Ovis aries: one gene and its partner. The protein of the gene in region 1 interacts with the protein of each later gene in a pairwise test. Links are inferred from orthologs where the notes say so. Each region holds a gene or a part of one and is shown on either strand. Other genes may lie near its edges.

The links.
Region 2: the proteins of TK1 (region 1) and PTPRK interact in a two-hybrid assay, tested with the Homo sapiens proteins (2 studies listed by BioGRID and IntAct). The link is inferred for Ovis aries from reciprocal best matches to the Homo sapiens genes TK1 and PTPRK.

What each region holds. Positions count from the first base shown.
Region 1 is NC_056064.1:53,319,757-53,323,409, forward strand, and holds the end of TK1 (thymidine kinase, cytosolic), read left to right. Parts: intron 1-1,506; coding exon 1,507-1,596; intron 1,597-1,890; coding exon 1,891-2,010; intron 2,011-2,191; coding exon 2,192-2,395; 3' UTR 2,396-3,131; downstream 3,132-3,653. UniProt on the Homo sapiens protein: Cell-cycle-regulated enzyme of importance in nucleotide metabolism. Catalyzes the first enzymatic step in the salvage pathway converting thymidine into thymidine monophosphate.
Region 2 is NC_056061.1:54,095,529-54,099,616, reverse strand, and holds the start of PTPRK (receptor-type tyrosine-protein phosphatase kappa), read left to right. Parts: upstream 1-1,270; 5' UTR 1,271-1,512; coding exon 1,513-1,609; intron 1,610-4,088. UniProt on the Homo sapiens protein: Regulation of processes involving cell contact and adhesion such as growth control, tumor invasion, and metastasis. Negative regulator of EGFR signaling pathway. Forms complexes with beta-catenin and gamma-catenin/plakoglobin.

The DNA of each region.
Region 1 (3,653 bases):
AAATGAGTGGCGATAGAAACAAATGTCAGTAAGGTGGTTGGTTACCAGTGGGCCTTCTGCGATGTTGCAGACAACGTGGGCAGCTCTGACTGTACCTTGGATCATTCAGGAACCCCTGCTGGGCAGCTCTGACTGTACCTCGATCATTCAGGAACCCCTGCTGCAGGCCCTGGGTTCAGTGTTTGGGCAGAGAGTGGGGTGGCATGTGAACAGGGCGCAAAGTTCAGGTGGAAGAACTGAGCTCTCTGACCGCGGGCATCACTGTAGCAGGCAGGGTGGAGGACCCCTCGCGGTCCCCAAACCCTGGTGTGGAGGGACCATGTCTGGACAGGGAAGGTAAGATGAAGAAGGTGCTCCTCCCAGGGTGGTTCTGCTCTCAACCTTCCCCGTGGATTTCTGGCAGTGTCTAGAAACAGTTTTGTTTGTGACAATGGGGGTCGGGTCGGGGCACTGGCCGACAGGTCCTTACAGGCTAGCGGCTGCATTTCTGTGACCTGTGACAAGTCCTTTAGAGAAAAGGAGGGGCCTCACCTAGAGCCAGGCTGGAGCCTAGGGGTGGGAGGTGCCATTTCCATAGTGCAGGCTCGGCAGACCCTGCAAACCCTGCAAACCCTGCAGAGGCCAGTCAGATCTGGCTTTGGTGAATCCTGCTGGAACTGGTTTGGGTTCTCTAAGCCCTGTCCTGGTCCTTGTCTGGGTGAGCCCTCGGGTTTTGTAACTACGCATCTCCACGAGTAGCTTGGAGAGAGACCCTTTGCCCAAACACTGGAACTCCCCACTTCATCCAACCCACAGACCAGATAGATGATTGACCAGTGAAAGGTCACCAAAGGATTTGTTTAAGTAGTGGCCCCTTGGGCCACTTGAAATGAAATTTGATTTACCAAGTAAGGACTTCCCACGGGTGGTGTGTTGAGCCATCCTGCTCTGTAAGTGGCCAGTGGAACTCCTGCCCCTTCTCCAGGCATCACACGGCACATTATGTTTAAAAGAAGAAAAAAATAAAAGCAAACACACAGAGCCTGCCTCTCAGCCAGATAGCATATGTAATAAATTATTTGCGTGTCCTTAATCCTTAAACATCGCCAGGGGCCTTCCTTGCCTTTTCCTGGGCTCAGGAACATGAAGTCATTGCCAGGGTCACAGCTAATGGGTCCAACGGAGAACCTGGTTCAAGCCTGAGGCAGCGGATCCAAGCTTTGGTCCACTGCAGTGGCAGACGGCCTCTCCACCTGGGTTGCATCACCCTGGTGGCAGTTCCAGGCGCCTAGCCTGGAGCGCAGCCTGGCTCTGCTGTGGAAAGTTGGTGCGATGGGGGAGTGAGTCGGGAAGCTGTGGATGTGCAGGCCGTGTACCAGATGGGAGGGCTGGCGCGGCCTTGTTCTCAGCTCCACGTGGATGCAGGTAGCTGTAGCTCCTGGGCCTGGCAGCGTGTCTGCAGCTCCTGGAAGGGGCTGCCCAGGGCGGAAGCTCACTCCCTCCTCCGCCTCTCACCCTTTCCTCTAGTTCCCTGACATTGTGGAGTTCTGCGAGAACATGGCCAACTCAGGGAAGACCGTCATCGTGGCTGCACTGGATGGGACCTTTCAGAGGAAGGTGAAGTGTCTGGTCCAGGTCTTGGGGTGGGACCGGGGACAGAGGCCCAGGCAGCGCACAGAAATGGACAGCCCAGGGCGCCCTTGATGCCCACACCATGCCTAAGCCCAGGCACTCAGGCCAGCCAGTCCCAGCTCCCTGGGGTGCCCCTGACTCCACCTGCCTAGGGCAGGTGCTCTGGGGAAAGGCAAGGTCCAGGCTTAGTTTCCTGGCTTCAGGGGTGTGAGTCAGGGTCTCCAGGAAAAGCCCACCCGGCGAAATGAGTGTGCACTCCTCTTTCTGTGGATTGTACAGGCTTTTGGGACCATCCTGAACCTGGTGCCCCTGGCAGAGAGCGTGGTCAAGCTGACGGCGGTGTGCATGGAGTGCTTCCGAGAGGCCGCCTACACCAAGAGGCTGGGCGTGGAAAAGGAGGTAGCTGCCCCCTGCCTTCTCCAAGGGATGGGCGGGTGGGGGGCAGGGAGGGGCGCCTACACCTAGAGGCTGGGTATGGAGAAGGAAGTAGCCGCCCCCTGCCTTCTCCCAGAGGCGAGGGGTGGGGCGCTGCGCCCCAGCCCCGCTCAGTCCAGGCGCTTCCTGTCGCACCGCACGTCAGGTCGAGGTCATTGGAGGAGCAGACAAGTACCACTCTGTGTGCCGCCTGTGCTACTTCAAGAAGCCCTCGGGTCAGCCCGCCGTGCTGGACAGCGAAGAAAATAAGGAGAACTGCCCGATGACACTGGGAAAGCCCGCGGAGGCCGCGGGAGTCCGGAAGCTGTTTGCCACTCATCAGATCCGGCAGTGCAGCCAGGCCAACTGAGGCACTGGCCCCTCGCTGGGGCGGGCGCTCACCCGCCACCTGCTCCCCCCACTCGCCCGCTGTCGCCCCCTGGCGGATGCCGGGCCTTCTTGGAGGAGGAAGTGGCGGGGGGCGGGGTTGGGGCGGGTAGAGGTTTCACCACCAGCAGTTGGCCTGCTGCTGCGCCCTTTCCCAGGCCAAGGAGGCGGCTGGTGGTCTGCACTGCACACTTCCCTCCTTGCCTGCCCACCAGCTTTTCTCAGTTCCCATCCCGGCTGCGGGGCGGCTGCGGGGCGATCGCAGTCTCCCCAAGCCGGAGCTGGCCGCCCTATGGGGCGGGGTCTGGCCGCTGCAGCCATCCCTCTTGGGGTGAGGCCAAGCCGCAAGCTGCTGTGACATCGGCGTCGCCGGCTTCTTCCCCGTTTGTGGCGTTTGCTGTTGAGTTTCTGTTCTCACTGGGAAGTCCATATCCCAGCACCTCTGGCTCAGCGTGGGCCTCTTCCCACGCAAAGACTTGGTCCCTCTGCCTGGGATGGGCTCCTGGCTGCCCCTGGGGATGGCTGGACTTCTTATTTCCTTTGGGGCTGAAAGCCCTTCCTGATCTGGCGATCATTTTCTCCGGAATTACAGCTTCTCCCATGTGGGTGACACTCACCCTGCTCTGGGGCTCAGCTCCCAGGGGCTTGTTTTCTAAGGAGGTGGGGGCTGTGTGTATGTGGAACTGATAACTAATATTAAAATCTATTGGTTGGTAAAAGCCTATTTCTCTTTTAACTGTCTGGGATTCCCCGGGTCTCACTATAGACACCTCTGACATGATTCAGGTATGGGGATTTCCTTTCAAATCTTTTTCTAGTACTCCTGACCCCTTAACCACAAATCTTTTTAACTGAGATATGAGCATCAAGTGTTCTAACAGGCATGTTTGCCTGCTCTTCTGCCTGGGAGGGTTTCAGGTCAAGATGAGTGGATGCAGGAGCCTGGGGCTTGGTTGGAAAGATGAAGCCTTGGTCTGTGCTGCCAGCTGGGGCTGTGAGGTCAGGTTTTATTTTGTGAAACAGACACTTGACAGTTCAGGAGCCAGGAAGACCAGCTCTGCCGTGCCTTGGGAAACGGGCTGTGGACAGCTTATGGGAAGGTGAGGGTGCTCCAGGGTGGGGTGGGCCTGGGCTGTGTGTTCCAGATGGGGCCCCAGTTCCCCACCCTTACCCCAGCTTCTCCCTCTCACTGGCTTGTGGCAGGTTACAGAGGTGCAGTACCACGGTCAGACCATAATCCC
Region 2 (4,088 bases), on another chromosome or scaffold:
TGGGAAGAATGGGGTCTTTAATTGCAGGGGGTCTTTAATTGCATATACTTAATCTGAATAAAGGAATATGTGTCCTGGCAAATTGTGTGAATGTTATATTAAATTGAACGTCACACTGTCTTGATTTACAAAACCTAAGATGTCTGAGTAACTGACAGATGTCAATCAACAGATTCCATTGTTCTAGGAATTGCATATGACATCAAAATTCTGAATAAAACTTGTTTCTTCAGTTGTGACCACATCTATTTTATTTGCTATTTTACAAAAATGAATAAAGCATACTCTATACAGTCTTTTCACGGAAGCAAGTAAGTGTGGCATATGGTGAAACCGCTTCAAGCTTCTGAAGAAGCAGCAAACTGTAAAATACTTTTCTGTCACAATGTAGCATTATTTTCCTGCGTACGAAATCATTCGTTGCTGTTTTCATTGTCCGCATTAAGTTCTTTCGTGAAATAATTAACGTCTTAAATAGTTCTTAGATATTAAAAACAAAACAGAAACCATTTCCCACTCCAGCAGACCCTGTGAAAGGCAAGGATAATAAGCCTTGCAGTTCTTAGGTTCTTCCAGGGGGAAGAAGTGGAAAGAGGCCGAAGGTTTCAGAAGTACAAGCAAAGTCAGTGAAACAGAGAGTAAATCCAAATATTCGGCAAATGATAAACCAGAAAAAAAGACATGCCAGCTGTTCACACTGGAAAGTTACTGAACGTTTATTTTGGTTCAAGTTTTATTTTTATATGAGGAAGGAACAATAAGTTTTCTACGGGGGTGGGGTGCTTATTCCTTATGACATCAATAAGGAACAGGGTTTGCGATGCAGGTGGGTGTTTCCTCTGGGCGCTTCTACACTCGTCCTTCTTGCCGGCCACCGCTCCGCTGGGACCTCTGTCTTGCGGACAGAACCCCGAGACGCCTCTGCGTGGGCGAAGAGGTGTCTCTGAGCTCGCCCCATGGGGCTCGGCCACACTGCTCACTCAACTCCCGCTTCTCAAACTGCAATTTCTGTAACAGGGCAGCCAGCGGCGCGGGTCCTCTTTCCCGCCAGCTACTCGCGAGCGGCGGCGGACGGCCGGGCTCGGGCGGCGAACAAAGGCGGCGCGGAGCGCGGGGCGCGGGGCGCGCGGCCGGGGTTGGCGCGTGTCTCTCCGGCAGGAGGCGGCGGCGGCGCCGCGCCCGAGCCTGCATTCCTCAGAAGCGCCCGGAGCCCGCGGGGCGACGTCACCCCCGGCTCCGCCCCCATCCCTCCCCGAGCAAAGTAACTCTTGACTAACAGGAGCAGCCTCTGCCGAGCATGGAGAGCAGCCGCCGCGGCCGGCCGGCGACGCGGGCGACGCTGGCGCCCCAGAGGTAGTTTGGCTCCCGCCGAGCAGGAAAAAGTGCGGGCGCGCGGCTGTCCACTCCCGGCGCTCACCCCGCCAGGCCCGGCCGGCCCCTCAGCGGTGGGTTTCGCTGCAAGCCTCCGGGCAGCTCTTTGCAGAGCCGCTTGAAACTTCTCCCAAAGTCGACATGGATACGGCGGCGGCGGCGCTGCCCGCTTTTGTGGCGCTCTTGCTTCTTTCCCCGTGGCCGCTCCTGGGGTCGGCCCAAGGCCAGTTCTCCGCAGGTGAGTGGCCGAAGGGGCGTCTGGAGCCCCGAAAAGTGCCCCCGACCTGGGGCTTGCCCAGGGAGGGATCGGGCTCCTCTCCAGGACCGTAGGCAGAGGTTTGCGGGGCGGGGGGAACGGGCAGAGGGAGAGAGGTCCCCCGACTTTGTGCCAGGTGGGACGCGGGGCGCCCGAATGGGCTCCGTGGCGCAGGTAACTTTCCTCGTTGCGCCCCATTGTTCCCAGCGGAGGCTCGCCCGGGACGCAGGCTGGCCGGGCGGTGCGGGAGTGCGAGCGGCAGTGCTTTTCTTGGGAAACGCGGAGCCTCGGCGTGTCGCGCTGACTGCACCGCGCCGGGGAAGAGAGAAAGAAAAAGTAGTGAACGACTCTGGGGACGGCTACTCTGTTGCTCGTGGTGCGGGTTTGTAGCTCTCCGCCGTTAGAACATTAAAAAAAAATTTTTTTTCCCCCCTTCGGGAAGCCATTGTCAGAAAGGTGGAGACTCGAAGAGACCGACCTCGGCGCGCTTTGCCAGGTGCTTTTTGTCCCGGGAATAACCTCCCCTGACTATTGTCTAACTACTTCCCCGTCCCTCCCCCAGTCCTTTTCTCGTTCTCTAGCGCGGGGCTGCTCGTTGGGCTCGCCCCGTGGGTTAGGGCACCGCGAGGAGCAGGTTCCTTGTGTGTGTTGGCAGAGCCTGTAGGATGTTTTGAAACACGATTCTGAGGATCCACACCGAGCGGTTCTGGGCAGCGAGGTTTGGGCGCCGGGTCGGGGAAGCCTGACCCGCGGGGGTTGGGAGCCCGTTCCTCCGGCAGAGCCACCGCGAAGCTGGCGCAGCTCCTCCCGGAGCCGGCCTGCCTGCTGGGGGCTGTGAACGACTGCCGCCCGCCGCCAAGAGGACCCCAAAGGAGGCATGCAGTGAGGTCTCGCCAGTTAGCCCTTTTGGGTTCTAGTAAAACCACTTCGACATGTCAGTAAAACCGCGTTTCGCCCAGTCTCGTCCTCCGTTCCCTGCCAGTTTTGTCATCCTTCCTGTCGGTGGTTTCTTTCGTTCTCTCCTCTGGGGGCTCTGAAGTTTCACCAGGTGGACGCTGGGGAGCAGGCTCGCGGGCAATCGTCTGCCTCCCGCCGGTCCAGACAACTTTTCTGGCCAGTCCGCCCTGCTCAGCTTGGCTGGCGAGCGCGTCTGCTGCCTTGGTTCTCAGTGCAGATGGAGACGCAGAGGTGGCCGAGGAGAGCTGCAGAAGACGCGGGAAGCGGCAGCCGCGTTCCTGGCTGAGGCCGTGGGACGCGGAGAACGGACGAACTTTGCACTGTCGGTTTCTCTCGTTGTTGTGGCTGCCTGGTTTCCTGGAAATAAACTCAGATTGTTGGTTTCCGGAGTAATGTTTATTTCCCTTGCGTCCTCTTTCCCCTCTCCCGCCCCCTTTTAGAACTATAAAAGGAGTTGGACAACAGATTCAGATGGCAGCATGTGATATGTACTCAGGATTACGAAATGCAGCGAGTACACGGAAAGTTATGTATACAGGTGATGTTTGCAGAGGACTACAGCTCTGTGCAATGAGTGAACCGATAGCTTAATTTTAATTCTTTCTGGAGTAAGCATTAGTGCAAGCGTCTCTGACAGGTAGTGCTGGTTAGTATTGGAAGCGTGCTTGATGGAAGACGTTGTATGTAGGCAAGTTGGAAGTGGGTATTGATTTCTGCACAGTGTTTGTCAGTGCACGCAGAGCTTACCCTTGAAAAGCCATGTAGTTTGTTAATTGAAAGTTGGAATTCTACCAGTTGCATGATGAAACTTACATGTATTCCAAATTTGCAACTATTAATGTTTGAACAGCTGATGGATATGTTTTTATCAGTGAAGAAACTTTCCCTTTTTCTCGTTTCATATGTTATTTACCCTTTACTGACCAAATAAATATTAGATTTCCTCCAGCAGAATGTATAGATGAGCTTTTCTGATCCTTGGAGTTCAGGTATCTGTAATGAACAGTTGTGTTCTTAGACGCCCAGTTTTAAGTAATTTAAGCCTGGCTTTTCTTTATTGACAAAGCAAAACATTTGACTTCATATTTAAGTAAAAGAATGTGCAATCCTAGTAAATACAATTCTGGCAGGACTATATCTCAAAATTTTGCCATTCAGGATTTGTCTATATGCCCAGAAAGGAATGCCTTTTATTCCCAGAGTTCAGACTGTGGATCTGCCTTTCTCCATAAATTAAAAATTTGTTTTTTAAAAAAATTTCTATTTTCTGCCTCTCCTAAGTCATTTGTTATTCCACGGTCATCAGATTTTATGGCAATCAGATTTGTTGCAAAAACATAGAGTCAGAGATTGGAAGTGTATTCTTTGTTGCATTTTTTTCTTACCTTCTACTTTAAATGATGAACTTTTATTTCATTCAAGAAATTTAAATAAAAATGCTTTTAAAGTGTAAAACAAATACATGTTCAGAATTATAAGCTATCCTGTTAAATATATTTTAAAA